Linked DNA regions of Drosophila melanogaster. The protein of the gene in region 2 interacts with the protein of the main gene of each other region in a pairwise test. Each region holds a gene or a part of one and is shown on either strand. Other genes may lie near its edges.

What was found.
Region 1: the proteins of CG10300 (region 2) and CG11247 interact in a two-hybrid assay, tested with the Drosophila melanogaster proteins (one large-scale study listed by BioGRID).

Annotation. Positions count from the first base shown.
Region 1 is NT_037436.4:21,723,467-21,732,310, forward strand, and holds CG11247 (uncharacterized protein), read right to left. Parts: upstream 5,341-8,844; 5' UTR 4,985-5,340; exon of another isoform or gene 4,927-4,984; 5' UTR 4,821-4,926; intron 3,472-4,820; 5' UTR 3,273-3,471; coding exon 2,697-3,272; intron 2,485-2,696; coding exon 2,089-2,484; intron 2,030-2,088; coding exon 1,433-2,029; 3' UTR 860-1,432; downstream 1-859. Other genes in the region: Polr2H (RNA polymerase II, I and III subunit H), read left to right, coding at 5,727-6,176; CG14570 (uncharacterized protein), read right to left, coding at 6,276-6,962; CG14569 (uncharacterized protein), read right to left, coding at 7,468-8,055.
Region 2 is NT_033777.3:23,708,536-23,715,551, reverse strand, and holds CG10300 (uncharacterized protein), read right to left. Parts: upstream 4,026-7,016; 5' UTR 3,995-4,025; coding exon 3,693-3,994; intron 3,459-3,692; coding exon 3,086-3,458; intron 3,017-3,085; coding exon 2,756-3,016; 3' UTR 2,607-2,755; coding exon of another isoform or gene 2,413-2,606; 3' UTR 2,357-2,412; coding exon of another isoform or gene 2,278-2,356; 3' UTR 2,239-2,277; downstream 1-2,238. Other genes in the region: nau (nautilus), read left to right, coding at 2,278-2,356, 2,413-2,606; CG10301 (uncharacterized protein), read right to left, coding at 4,293-4,547, 4,663-5,035, 5,102-5,394.

The DNA.
Region 1 (8,844 bases), on a different chromosome or scaffold from region 2:
GGTTGACACTAACGGTCGCGTCAATAAATTCGCCGTGCAAATTTCATTAATTGCTCCGGGTGGGTGGAAGGTGGCGGACCGGAGGAAGTGGCGCGGGCAGGTGCCACAGCGCCTGCAGATGCCACCGCTGCTCAGAGAGCTCGGTTCGCATGCAGTGCGGGGCTTGCCATAAAAAATATTGGCCACCTTAATGTAAGTGGCTTATAAATTTGTGCACAAGCCCAGACCATTTATGGCCAACGGGCAGGGACCCATGGGGCACTTGTACCTAACTGTTTATGTGGTTAGATGCCAGCCCGGTTGGGTGTGCCTGGGTGTTTCTGTGCGACTCGTTGCTCTTTTGGCCGCATTCAAATATGGAATGCAGCTTCCAGCCGGACTTGAAATTCCATAGATGAGCCTCAAAGGTCAAAGGCACGCAAGCCAGGAGATGCAGAAAATTGATTGATTCAAGCCGTGTCGCTTCCTAAGATGCTAGTCGAGATCCTCAACTTCCAGACACCAGCTACAGCAAGATCGAAAGTTGACTGAAATAATATGTAAGGCCTTTGCCATTTGTTGTAGACGGCCAAAATCCTTTTGGAATAAACATAGAAACTTTCAATAATAATAATAAAAACCAAAATTATTAAATTAATATTAATATATTCAAAAGTGTGGGAGCAGCTTTGTGGGATAGTGGACGTGCTCACTCTTAGTTAAGGGAATGTGTTCTTTTTATCATTCGTTCTCATAAACTTTCTCTAACTCTTACGTAAGCTCGCAGACTTACGAAATCTTAAAAATAAGCGAAAATAATACTTGCTGCAAATTGTTTCATGATTAAAAAGTCCGAAAAACTAATATCCAGTGTTGGGTTGTAGTCACAAATAATATTTATTATTCATTTCATTTTTTCACTTGCGTATTTTGATTTGCATTTCAGTTGTACACTTCAGATTTTGCACTTTTGTTGGAAAAGACAAATGGCAACTAAATGCATTAAGCTTATTAATTTTACAAGCATGGCCACAATGAGTTGTATTGTACTTGAGCTGTTATAGATTCACTCCGGGACAATCTGTTGCTCTGGCAAGACTAAGCATACAAAAATATTTCAGGTTTCAATCGTGTTATGCCTATTATTTTATAAATTATTGCATCGAAATTCGTTCTTAAACTAATTTCCTTTAATAGGGAAATTATTATGACAACACTAACTCATACATTCTTCAAATTATACTTTTTGGTAGCAGCAAAATTGGGATTAAGGGTAGTAATTCATTAAAATGACCTGTACTACAAAGTATATATCTTTGGGATAAATTATTTGGTTGGGTTTCGTTCTGCAACTTTGGGTTACTAAACACTAAACTAAATGGCAAGAACTAGTTCTACAAATCCTTCTTCTATGGCACACTCGCATTTGGCGTTGGCTATCAACTCCTGGATTCTACTTCTGTTTCATATACATGGTAGCAATTTTCTCAAGAATCGTGTCTATAGACAACAATTCGTCGCTGAATTTCTGCATAGTGGGGGCTGGCACAATCCACTTAAGAAATTCCTCCACATTTAGCCGGAGTCTGGCCAATGGGGTCATCGTGGCGTCGTCATGGGATTGTCGCTGAGCCAGCTTCAAGGATGCAATGATAACGTTATCGATTAGACGCTTCTCGTAGCCCAACTGGCGCAGCTTTTGAGCGGAGCTAATTTTCTTCAGTACCACTGCCATGTTAAATCTTAAGACAGAGAGAATTTGCGCATCTTCAGACTGATTGCCACTGGGTTTGTCCCCGTCAACTGGACACTTGGCGCAGTGCTCAACATGCGACTGCAGCTCCACCTTGATCTTAAAGAAATCGTGGCAGCCTTCGCACATGTAGGGCTTTTGCTGTTTGTGTATCTTCTTCATGTGGTTCTTTAGGTGCGCCAGCTGAGAAAAGGCTACTTCGTCTTCGCACAGCTGGCAGCGAAAGGGTTTTTCCCCCGTATGCTTTCGGATGTGCAGTTTTAGTACGCTTGAATGGGCAAAGGTCTGGTGGCAGATCTGATGGAAGTAGAAACATAATTTACGGCTGCATGCAAGCTAACACCCTTTCAACTTACCCTACACTGATAGGGGCGCTCTCCCGTGTGCATTCGCATATGGACATTGTACTGGCTTTTCTGGGTGAAATATGTGTTGCACACCTCGCAGACGTGGGTCTTAACAGCGGTGTGCCTCTGCATGTGAGTGGCCAAATCCTCGTCCGGCTCGATCATCTTATGGCATATCTCGCACTCAAATTGCGTCAGCTTGTGGTGCTCCTGGTTTATGTGCGCTCGCAGGGCCAGCTCGTTGGCGAATTGGTTCTCACAGATGCTGCACCGGTGCTCCATGCCCTGCTCGTGTCGCTCCATGTGCACCCGTAAATTGGCGTTGGTTGAGAAGCTGGCCGAGCACTTAGTGCAGTTGAACTGCTGGATACTCGTCTTGTGGTGAGAAACCATGTGCTGTTGCAGCTGCAATATAAATGATAATATATATTAGGAACACCAATGGTTAAGACCTATAAAAACAAAAGCCTAATAGAAAGTTCATTATTAAATACACTTATTTATATTTAATTATTATAATAAATATTATTATTTAAGTTTATAATAAATCAAATTATGAGAAAAATATAAAATTAATTGTTAAATCTCAGTTAAAAATGGAATGTCGTATTACTCACTTGACCTCCTCGGGCGAATTTTTTGTCGCAGAGGTCGCAAGGATAGGGCTTCTCGCCAGAGTGGAGGCGCATGTGGAGCCGCAGGCGCTCCTTGAGGGCGAATGATTTTGGGCACTGGGAACAAACGAACTGTTTCCGATGCTCGTGGGCGGTGGTGATATGATTTTTCAGGTTGACCGCCTGGCGGTAGCTCTTGCCACAATCCTTGCACTTGTGCGGTCGTTCGTCCGAGTGGATAAGCATGTGGCGCTGCAGATCCGTCTTGCCACCGAACTCTTTGGAGCATTGACTGCAGACATGGTGCTTGCGTTTCACCGGTTCGCCCTTTCGGGCAGACTTCTTAAGCTGCGGTTGCACGTAATCATCATCCTTTGAGTCCTGCTCTCCGCCGTCGTCCTCCTCCTCGTCCACACAAGCATCGCGCAGACTTGCCAAGCTGCTCTTCCTCCTTTTGATCGCAAGCGTAGGGCCTGGTGAGGATTCCCTCGCCGCCGGCGGCGAAGACAGCGATATGCCGCTGTCTGTGAGCAGAGAGACGGCATCCTCCTTGGACACACTACGACGGCTGCGTACCATTTGTTTGGTTTTTATTATTTGGATTCGTAACTAAATTTCTGGGGACCGCTTCCTGGGAAACACCGGCACCTGCTGCGTTTGTCTTTACTTCTAGGGTTAATGTTCTACGTATGTAATTTAGGGTATTCGTATTTTTTGGTTCGATTGCTACTTCTAGGATAGTTCCCATTCACCTTTGGTTTGGATTAGTTCAGATGGGCTGCAAAAAAAGTTAAGAGCTGTTTTAATTCTCCACTCGCCGAGCGCCACGTTCCGAAGCAGACGGAGAATCAAAAACACAGACAGAAATAGTAACCGCAAGTGAAGCCGAAACAGAAACAAGAAGAGAAACAGCAACGGAACAGAAACTCCAGCTGTGTCAACAGTGATAAGACCTATGCACAGGAAAAATATTACCAAAATTGGTGGATTTGCATATTTAGGGGCTTCGAAAAGCATGGCACTTTTTACGTTAATGCAATAGTTCTTACTATTTTTGCAGTGTTGTCGAAATCACTTGAGATTTTTAGACGTTGTTTATCATAATTAATTAATTAATTGCAATTCATTGGCTATCCAATTAGAAAATATATTCGTTTCTTTACAAATCTAGTTAACAACGGAAGGTTGTGGACTGTTTTTCACGGTGTACAGAGCTAGGAGCCCAAGTCTTGAAGTGGGTCGCATTATCAATTGACATTTCCAGCGAACGTAAGCTTCCAAAAAAAATTCTTAGTTTGTTGTCTTAATCTTTTGTTTGGGCGGGAGCGAGATGGAGAAACCGCCTGATAAGATCCCGAGGAAGGCAACAACTGATAAGCAATCCACCGCTTTCACTAAAATCACGGTAGAGCTATAAAAAGATATCGAGATAAAGCTGTGCAACCTGAGCGTTTTCGATCCCGCGGCGTCTGTTCTCCGAGGCGGCGGAGTTTCCAATGAAAAGCGAGAACACTGAAAATGCAACTGCAAGAGAGCGATTACGATGACCCTGGGCTGGGACGAACATCTGGCAAGCAGATTGGGAACCCTCCGATTCCGATTCCAGTGCCAAGCAACCCCCTCCCCCTGCGGAGGGTTAATGGTTCATTAGAGCCGCACCCGCAGAAGCTGAAAACTAACTCACTTTAGCAGCACAACGGCCCTCGACCAAACTGTTGAAAAAGCGAATTTAAGCTAGAATCCGCAGCTGGGAATCGAAATTGAAAGAGAACAGGGCAAAAAGCACGAACGACAGCGAAAATCACACACAAAAAGCGAAAATAAAGAAGTGAATACATAACAGCAGTTTTGTAATGCTAAATAGGCGGGGTTATGGGGGTGGGTAAGGGTTAAGGCGGCGGCGGTCGCTGGATGAGGGTAGGGGCCGTTGAAGTCTTTCGTATTCGGGGCACAAAACTCGACGACTGTGTAGTTTTCGGGGTCTTGCAACCGATTGTTAGTAATTAATGAACCAGCACCACAGCACTCATATACGTAAAGCAATCCATTATACACATATGCTACACATTTGGCCCAGGGGCTCCACATTCAACACCAACACCAAAGCCCCACCGGGCGTGGACTTACCTTCGCAAAAAGCAGGAGTCGCTAGGCTAAGGGCCTTCGATCCACAGGAAACTTAGCATCACCCCGAATGGGACACACCTGGACTTCCTATGCATTCCGCGTCCGACTATGAGTTCGCTTCTTATTTGTTTTTAATTTCGACACCACGAGCTGTGTGTACATACTTTTTGCAATCCGCTAGGTGGCAGTCCGACTGGCTCCTCAAGGTGTATCCATCGTGCTGCCTGCGGCTTAACCTTTGTGGGACTTTGCGGGTTTGCCGATTCTAAGCCAATACTGCGTTTTGTCCAGCAAAATAAATAACAGTTTTCGGTGGTTTTTCGATGTTGTTCTTAATGTTAGTGATGTGTATTCACCGATAGACGGTCACACTGGGACTCTCTGTCTGCGCGGCCACAGATGGGAGCGTGATGCACAGTCACTAGTTAGAGAAAATCCAATAACGTGTAGGTTGCGGCGCAATAAGTTATAAATAAGTTAAAAATCACATTGCGCAGTATCACTGCAATATTTATTGAAATTTCAGTAAGAACAAAGTGAGGCACACTTTGTTGAACGTGACTTCTTTTACACACTGAAATCACAGCCTGCTGAACGTGACCACTTTGCTCACTGAAATCGCAGACGTGTGGCAACACTCAAGCCGCCAGAAAGATCTGGCATCTCTCATACTTAACACGCGCATGCAAAATATTTAAGAAATAAATATTAGTCGCTAACAGTTTAAATATAATAAAATTCTGCTGATATAAACCCAGTTCATAAAAGAACACGCATTTACCTCCGCATATAAGATCAAATACGTATAAAATCTAATTAGCCGACTCAAGGTAAGGCGTGCGTTTTTGGAGCTCCACTAAACTGACTTCAAAGCAATAACTCATCAAATACTACATTTCAGTTAAAATGGCTGGAGTACTCTTTGAGGACATCTTCAACGTAAAGGACATGGATCCGGAGGGCAAAAAGTTCGACCGTGTATCCCGCCTGCACTGCGAGTCCGAGTCGTTTAAGATGGACCTCATCCTGGACATCAACTCGTGGCTATACCCCATGGAGCTGGGCGACAAGTTCCGCCTGGTTTTGGCCACCACCCTGCGCGAGGATGGTTGCCCGGACAGCGGGGAGTACAATCCAATGGAGCACGAGGGAACGCGGGCGGACAGCTTTGAGTACGTGATGTACGGCAAGATCTACAGGATCGAGGGCGACGAAGCACACAATGAGGCCTCCCGGCTCTCCGCCTACGTGTCATTCGGCGGCTTGCTGATGCGACTTCAGGGTGACGCCAACAATCTTCATGGCTTCGAGGTGGACCAGCACATGTACCTGCTGATGAAGCGGCTGGCCTTCTGAATTTTCTACCTAATTATTTTCGATCGCAAATTAGACATAGACAACAAACTTTATTTACAGTGTATTCATGACATTGCTTGGAGTGCTGAAAGAAGTAGTCTATTGCCTGGATGGGCGTCTGAAAGGCGCATTGACTATCAGGCGAGATGGCCGTGGGCGAAAAGGAATGTGGCGATCCACGAAGGGCAAAGCCTGCGGAGTCGATGGGAACACTGGAGTAGGCCTAATAGCATTCACAATCTTGACCGCATCTGGCCGACGACGAACCGTAAGCTTAGCCGGCCGTCGCTGCGGAGTCCGCAGAACCGGACGCTGCGGGCGGAAGGCAGAAAGTCGGTTCAGAAGCGGCAGAACATACTGAGCCTGGGGTGGTAGCGGCAGACTTGCCAAATTAATTATAGCTGCGCTTTGTGGCAATGTGTTGGAGCTGTCATCATTGGCTGGCTGGTCTGGAGGTCCGTAGGTCTGATCGGGAGGTCCATAAATTTGGTCCGGTGGGCCGTAGACCTCAGCTGGCGCTTCCACCAAAGACGGTGGTCCGTATGTTTCAGGTGGAGGGCCATATGTATCCTCCGGTTGAGGAAATTCAACCGCCTCCTCCGTTGGCAGGTCGAATGGCGGATCGGGGACCAGGCCTGCTGGTGGATATGGGGCTTGTTCCTGTCTTTGCAGAAACCTTCCCGCCGCGGGTCCTGGGAACCTCAGATGACTGCCTTCAATTCCATTCAGGCAAAGAATGGAACAAAGCGCAAAGGTGACCAGAGAAGCACTTGGATAACCGGACATTGTGGTGTGCTGACATGAACTGCTGCATGGGCGGCTAAGTGGCGCCTATAAATACCCCCTAGGAATGCCCTTGGGAACTGCCCAATTCAAACGCCCGAAGAAACCTCGAGGCCGATGACTTATAAGCCAGGTCCAACGATACGTGCCCATGGAGGTGGTGACTAAGGCGCGTGTAAGTACTGGCTGTTATGAAAATGTGTGGTTAGATTTCTTTAAAAGGGAGTGCTTATACAAAATAATTGTATATTATTTTTACACAGGAATAAAAAAAATAATAAATATAACGCTTTCCTATTAGTTTCAGTATGGATTTCATTTTAAATTGAATTTTGTAAGTAATATTTTGTAAATATATTTTCTGTGTACGGTGAGTGCATGATATCGTTAGAATAGATTCCAGCCCTGTATCAAAGACACTAGAATAATTATTCTAGAGTCTTTGCCTGTATGATATTTCCTTAAGTCTGACGCAGTGACGTATTTGCTTACGCTAAAGTTTTAAAGTCTACCAACTGCGACGCAGGATTAGACGCTGAGGAACGGGCCTCTGGGAACGCCGTCCTTGCGGAAATCGCTGGTAGAGTCGGGCGGACTGGACGGACTGTGGCTGGTCAAGACTGCTAGCTACAACGATCACAGTGCCATCCTCAGCAACATCCAGCTGCGGTTCATCCTCCTCGGCGTCCTCATCAGCGGGCTGCAGCTTGGCACCGTCAACCGATGCTTCCTCAGTCTCTGGAATATCATCAGTCTCGATGGGATTCTCTGGTAGCGGCTCAGCCTCGGGAGCAATAGCCGGCACGGAGTCGGTCTCTGGAGGTCCATAAGTGTTATCTGGTGGCCCGTATGTGTTGTCCGGAGGTCCATAGGTGTTATCAGGCGGCAGATAAGTGTTCTCCGGCTTGACAGTCGAACTGGGTAAATCGAAGGGAACACTCGGGGTGATGCCCGCCTCCGGATATCCGGTGGGCGAAGGACTGGGTATAGCCTCCACTTGGCGCGCCAAGAACCTCCGGCGGATCGGCTCCGCGGAGCTCAGCGCCAACAGGCTCAGGACAAGAATAGCAATTGGTGCGCCAGTCGGTTTAAACATTTTCGCGGTTGAAGGGCTTCTGTTCTGATTTCTCGATCCGACACGACGTATTTATAGCCCCAAGCTACCAGATCGAATTCTGCTATAATTTATGCTCGTCACTTTCAGTTTCAGGCTCTTATTCCCGGTAAAACTTTGATTATGTTGCGCTGATCGGCGGCAATGTAGCTTCAGCTTAATACCCGATACGTGACCCTTTTTCGAAATTGATTTTCCAATGCTATGATTTGGAATAGGCCACCCTTTCCCTCCTTCGCAAATCATTCATTAACACTTGGAGTGAGCTGTGAACACTCGAGTTTGTTTGGTTTTGGGTTCTTGGCAGTTCATAATTTTATTTGATGAACTTTGTATTCATGCAAAACAGAATAGGCTGTGAAAAAATCCATCAAGCACGCACTTTTAAAAGCACGTCCCACCCATTTGCAACATTTGGACAGTTTCAATCAGGGTCGATCGAATTCAAAAACAATGTTATTTACTATTAGCTTGGCTTTTGGAACACTCATTTGCCTTACCAAAAATTATTATATTCTGAGCTTTGAGTTTTTATCATGGTAAGTGAAAATCGGGTTAAAAAATATAGTATTCATACTCCTTACTCGTAGAGTAAGATGTGTTGAAAATTATGTAACAGGAAACTTTTCCGACCATATAAAGTATATACATATATGATCAGGATCAATAGCCGAGTCGATCTGGCCATGCCCGTCTGTCCGTATGAACGTCTCGATCTCGGGAACTATAAAAGCTAGAGGGTTGAGATTAAGCTTACAGCTTACAGCTCAC
Region 2 (7,016 bases):
GGGACGGGAGCGGGTTGTACATGCATATCTACTCCCGAATGACAGGGCAACAAATTGTCAACAATTATGCAAACATTTTTGCCATCATCTTCAACGCCCTCTTTTCTTTTCATTTTCATTTGACTTTCGGGTTGGCCTGCGCTGAGTAATTTCCATGCAGTTTGTTTAAGTTTCTCACAATTTTAATGTACAAATTTGTTAATTTACCATAAAACTTAGCGTATTTGTATGTTGACTGCGCCCCCCATTGGCAGATATTAATGTGCGGCCATAGTTTGATTAAAAACTGGCATAGCGCCAAACGTGCAGACATTCAAATGCATCTCAGACCCTGGCAATCCATCCATCTCATCCATATCCATTCATTTGGAGCCCGTGTATTTATAAACCTCGGCGACTTAAGTAAAAGATTTCCTTTTGAACTGTTTCCAACACGAAATGCGAACGCTAAGTTGGCCCATAAATTTCCTTATCGCCGCCAATAAAGTGTAGTACTTGCGATATACAAAAGTGCCACCTTGTCTATATCAGTCAAATTTCTACGTAATGAAATACATAGCCGCAATCATTGAAGTCTTAAGATAGAGCTTTTCGGTGCAAATGACTCACGGAAAGATGTGGGTAACGTGGGTGCAAACCATCCATTTGGACAGTGAGTCAGGATTGATCGGATTCCCTACCATTCAGTTTTTAAACTATTATCAGGTACAGATATGCTACCGAAAACTTTTGTTATCTTTGAATAGCTTTACAGCTACACTATTAGATATTTTCTACGAATGGAAAGCAGTTTATAAATGATATTGCAAATTATTGAGAAGAGATAATTGGTGTGATTTTTATGGTCTAACCACCACTGATAATCTTTATCACACGTCCCCGTTTCAAAAAGTAACTTTTTCAGTTTCCGAGAAAGATTGATTAAATAATTCCGAAAATAAACATCAACATTATTTGCATCTTATTAAAAATGTAAATACATATCTGGCAAGTAGTTCTTGCATTTTTTCGGTGATATTTCCGAAATGGATTATGAGATCTTACGACTGACCGCACAACTCGCAGAGAAGTGGCAATATTTTTAAAGTGGGTTTAGTATATTAAAAGCATATTTCATGGTAAAAACTCATGCAACTTATGGCTAACAAATCGCATAATGCCGCATATCCGTTACACGCTCACAGATCGGAGGAGAACATCTAAGGGGAACGCGCCAAAAAGCGGCTTAAAATCTTTACGCAACCGAAGAATCGGAATGCCCAAGTGATAAGTGGCATTTCATTCAGATACAACGCATGATATATGCTCAAAAAAAAAAAAATAAAATAAAATACACCGAAATACCATAAAGACCTGCAAACAAGTACACAGAAAGAAGTCGGGCATGTCTAAAAATATATTTCGAACATGCTTGTTAAATTGAGAATTTATTTCCAAAGAAATTTTTCAATATTCGGTATTATATTGTCATATAAATAGACTTTATTGCTTTTAACCCAGTTGTGCTATTTTTGTGTAATTTTTCCCAGTGTATCCGCTTGCTGACTGCGGCATATCGAGCGCAGGCTGTCACTAAACGCTTGAAAAAAATGATAAATCGCTTTATAAAAGTGCAGTGTGAGTTCATCTGCTCTCGTTCAGTTTAGTTCACTTCACTCGGCTTTGAATGCTATTCTGTTGTTTTATCACTCCGTACTTTGTTGTCCGCTAAATATAAACAGACGTACATACATATAAGCCATACGGGATGCCCTGTATTTGTCGATCCTTGCAGACGAAGTGACGGCACTTTGGATGCACCAGATGCGGATTTGGGGGGGGGGGGGGGGCAGCAAGGAAACCCACCCAGAAGTGGCAATTATAATTTGCTTAGCATCGGCGTTATAGCGAATTTTTCTAATGAAATCCCGACCGAATCTCCGGATGCCTTGTCTGTCGTCTGCGTATGCGCAAAATTAATTTAATTGCCTCTAAAGTGCACTGCACACAATGCCCCACAATGTTGGGGCAGACAATGGGTGTGGTGCGGTGGTTCAATGCGTTTTAATTGGCCTGTGGAATCTCTTTACTGGCATAAATTTTGGCTTAATCTCATCATTAGACTGCATTCTGTATGGCACTCGTTGGCCAAGTTGACAGGACCGGAGCAAATTTGACGTTGTCATTTCGACGGCGACACTTTTCTGTAATTTATTGTTTCCCCAATTTCGCTTGAGGCCAACTAAAAAAAAAATATATGATTTTTCCATTTGTATTTATTTATGTTTTTCCTTGCAGAGCTCCTATGCTGGCGCTTATCTAGAAGATAAACTTAGTTTTTACAACAAACATATGGAGAAATATGGTCAGTTTACAGGTAAAAGTAAAAAAAAAAAAGTATTTGATGTATTTATCTAAAATATTTTTGTATAGACTTTGATGGCAATGCCAATGGCTCCAGTTTGGACTGTCTAAATCTGATTGTTCAGAGCATCAATAAGAGCACCACGAGTCCCATTCAAAATAAGGCCACGCCCTCCGCTTCAGATACCCAATCGCCGCCCTCATCCGGAGCAACTGCACCCACTTCTCTGCACGTGAACTTCAAACGGAAGTGCAGCACTTAGCACTTAAGTATCAGCACCTTAGGCAATTGTAAAGCTATTTTTAAGAGGATACACGAGATACCCAGTGACCCGAATAGGCCTTAAATTATTTGTATAGCATTAGAACTTAATTAAATGGTAATTCAAAACAGCAACTAGAGTCGTCTTACTTAATCTAGCTCCAATTTGCGGAAGGAACCGCTCATCCCGTCCAGTTCTCCATTGGCCCAGGCACTGGCCAATCCGACGCGCAGTTTCTCATTAGTACCATACTGGGCATCCTTGGCCAGATAATCCTTGCTGTCCAGCAGCTTCTGGCGCCAATGATCCACTGCCTCTGCCTGATAGCCATTGGTGCCACCATACTCGATGGTCATCACATCTCTGGGCAGGTGCTGGTACAGATCCTCCGACTTTTTGTGGACCACGAACTGTGTAGAATATTGTAGAGATTAATTACCAATCCTAACGCAATTCAAGCTTTTTGATGATAGATTCACCTTGAAAGGCAGTTTGGAGGGCAAAAACTTCGTTACAAAATTGAATATGGTTTGTCCCTCCTTGCGCATATTGATCATATGAATCTCAACAAATCGCAGTGGTATGCATTGGTCCACCAGAGCAAATGCCTTCTTCAGCAGGAAGGGATCGTACTGCATCATCTGCTCCATGGTAACATCTCTGGCATCCACAACCCAGATCAAGCCGGAAATCGCGGCATTATCGCACTCCAAAGCCAATAGTTCCAACATTATGAAGATCAGTTTGAAGGCTTCGCGGGGATTCGATTTCTTGGGATCGATGTTTCGGAACTGCGAGATGATAACCCTTGGCCCCTCGGGACTCACAGGTCGCATGGGTATCACATGGATTCTGTTAATTCGAAATAGAAATTAAATAAAGTATCTTTACCTTCTTAACATAGGTCTTTCGTAACACGCAACTAATTTCCAGTCAGAAATTCACATAGATAGTGAATAAATTATTATTGATAATGTTTGTTACGTTTAACACCACTGATTAGAAAGCTGTATTCTGTATGGTTTTGTGAAATATTTAGCAGCCTAAGGCAAAAAGGGTATATAGCAAATGGAACATTCAACCCACCCGCGTTGCAACTGGGTGAGCAGGGCCTCGTCCACCTGTCGGGATCCCAGAACCTCCGGGAACACGCTGCGCAGGGAGTAGTAGTTGTCGAATCGCCGTTTGGTCTCCTCCTGGCTGAAACGGCAACGCCGCAGAAAGGCCAGGATAAGCTGCTCATCCGTGGGCGCCTTAAGGTGCGGCGACTTGGTGATCCATGTCTTAATGGTGGCAATAATCTCCGCTCGCTGCGCCTGCTCCTCGTTGCACTCACTTTTGGCCAGAGCCGCCAACTTTGGGTCGAGAGTTCTCAGGGTGTTCGCCATTCCGGCGCTCGGTTCATTAGTAACTGAATGCCAAAACCACTGACGCAGCGCCGTGGTAGTGATGGTATTGGCTTTTGCGGCGGCATCGCTTATCTAATCGGGGCAACACCTTGTAAACTAGCTGGAACGGCGAGCCGAAACCCGTCGGCAGTCAGTTAGATATAGATACACGAGTGCATAGATAGTTGATAAGTGGGTGTTATCTTTAATTGATCGACTACAGCAGAGTTTGGAATGTTTATATGGATAAACGCTATTGTGGGAGGGAGGGTCTAGGTTTCCTGCTTCCGTGCTGGTATCAATCCCAATTGAGACGACGGAAGGAGCCATTGGCTCCAAATTCCGCCTCATATGTGGCTATTTCGCCGTGCCGCAGCTCCTCAATGGTCCCGTAGTTGCAGTCCTGCTCGAAATAACCACGATAGCTATTCAACAGGTCCTCCATGTAGGCCACACATTCACCCAAATGTCCATTGGTACCGCCATACTCCTCCGGCAGCGATTCCTTGCCAATGTGCTCGATTAGCTCTTCGCTGTTCTTCAGCACGCGTATCTGAAATAAGATAAACATATCTAGCCTTAATTGGTACTGAATCTCTAATGGTTACTTTATAAAAACAATTTTATCACGAAGGTGATAACTTGCTGATTAAGTTATCAATACCCACCGGATAGTTGACTTGCATGCTAAGCACGTTGTACAGAAACATGACGGTACCCTGAATATCCTTGGGCATATTTATGATATACATCTCCTTCACTTTAAGGGGGCTGCAATTGTAGAGCCAGTTCCACCATTTGCGAAATAGAACCCTATCAAAGCGTCGCATCTTATCCGAGTTGACGCCCTCGAGGTCAATTATTTCGCAGATTCCCGCCAAGCTGGCATAGTCATTCTCCAGCGCAATCACCTCCATGGCCATCGACGAAAAATGATAGATCTCCCGCAGCATGTACAAATTGGGATCGAAATGACCGAAACGGGCTATAAACATGGCACTACGGCTATCACCCTTTGGCATATCCGGATAGAGACAAACTCTAAGAGCAAAACCAGCGTCTTAAGATAAATGACTAACTTCAAATGTTGGAATAACATTAGCTCACCCCATCCGATTGATGTCCAGAAGTCTTTGAGTCACACAGCGGTTATTCATGATCTCCGGAAATAGATTGTAGTGGGTGAAGTAGCGATCGATCCGGCGCTTGGTCTCCTCCAGGCTGTAACGGCAGCGTCTGAGGAAGGCGATCAGGAAGTCCACATCTGTGCGGGCGCGCAGATGCGGCTGCTGGCGAATCCACACGCGCAGGATGATAATATCCTGCTGAATCCTGTCGGGCGTCTCGTTCACCTCCTGCTCGGCCAACTTGGCCAATGTCGGCGAGAGCGGACGTCGCATTTTGGTAACGGCTATGCGGTGTTTGATGGCATTTGGGCCATCTAATTTGCCTATCCGTGCTCCCCCATCTGGTGGTGGGTGGCCCCCTAATCTAATCTTATCGCCGAGGCGAATCGGATTGGGAAAATACGACCGCTGCATGATGGTCTATGCTTATCTATACGCATTTGTAACTTGCACTTTTTTCCAGCTCGGAAAATGGGATTCGGATATGTAAGTATGTTTGGGAGAGAGTGACATGTACTATATATGGGAAAAATAGCGCACATCCGGCGCCTGGAGATCTCTTAAGTGCCCATCTCGTGTGCATTTGGGAAATGGTTGCAGATGCACTGAGAATAAATTAGTGTGGAATGTTATCCAGAAGAAATGAGTATGAACTTATATACTTACATTCAAATACATATTTTATTTTACAAATGTGCGTGCCATCTATTGTGGCATCAATATTTTCACTTCAGCCTTCAATTTGTCCCCATTTTTGTTAGTGTACCAGAGTACCGTCTTTTGAAATGCGATCTGCGTTTAATGCCCGAAATAAATCTAACGCTAAATGGTATCCAGTTCGTCGGTCGTCCGTGCTGTGAGCATTGAGTATTCAATTTGAGTGCCTGCCTGTCAGAGGGCATTACACACCGACATCCCGGGTAGGTGGCGATGTGCCGTTGGAGTTGACATGGAACACCTACAGCCGGGCAAATTGCTATGACATGGCGCTGTCAGCTGCTGACAAGCCGGAGAGCTGGAGATCTGTACAACTGTGGAATTGGCGATCTGGGCTCCCAGGAAGCGGATCATCTACCCACTCCGTCAATAACTCATAACACATTATGGCCATGGGACTGGGACTAGGGAGGATTTGGAGTGAGTACATCCAGTGGAGGCTGTGCTTTGATCTTGCTGCTGACAGGGCAGCGCGTGTAAATTCCCTTTGCAGCCAGCTCATTGCTCATGACGCAAACATATCGTTGCCATATTAATAATGAGCCTCATTAACAGCTCGCTGCACTGCATCATCGCACTCAACACATTGCCCAATGTTGCCACTGCTTTCCTATGTTGAGAAAGGGTGAGGGTGTGGCGGCATGTAATTGACACACTCATTGCTGATAAGTGTATTTTGTTGTAAGCACTTCAGATATGCAACCAAACCCCCGGAATGCATATGCTGCACTTGAGGCAAGTGATGGATGCCCCAAGGAATCGCTGAAAATCTTGACACAAAAGGGTATGGGATTAATAACCCAGTGATTGTCTTACTGACGGCTAAATCAGTCTGCAGAAGGACCTTTGTACTTAAGAACACTGCTTAATTACATACATAAAAAAAAATAATTACTAAATTTTTAATATATATAATAATATAATAAATGTAAAATTCTTCATAGTTTCGTGTTTATTTTAAGCCATTTTGTGTGGTTAAGATAATTGTGCATTCACTCACATACTATTTGCTCACAATTAATTTTAATTATTGAATATTTAAAAATATAATATAAATGCAAAGTTAATAATGCTTTTGAAAATTTTATCAAATCAAAAAAGAAAGTGCATTGCTGCCACAACCAGCAGTCATATGGATTTATAAGCGTTTCATGTTTTAATTTATAGACTTACATAAA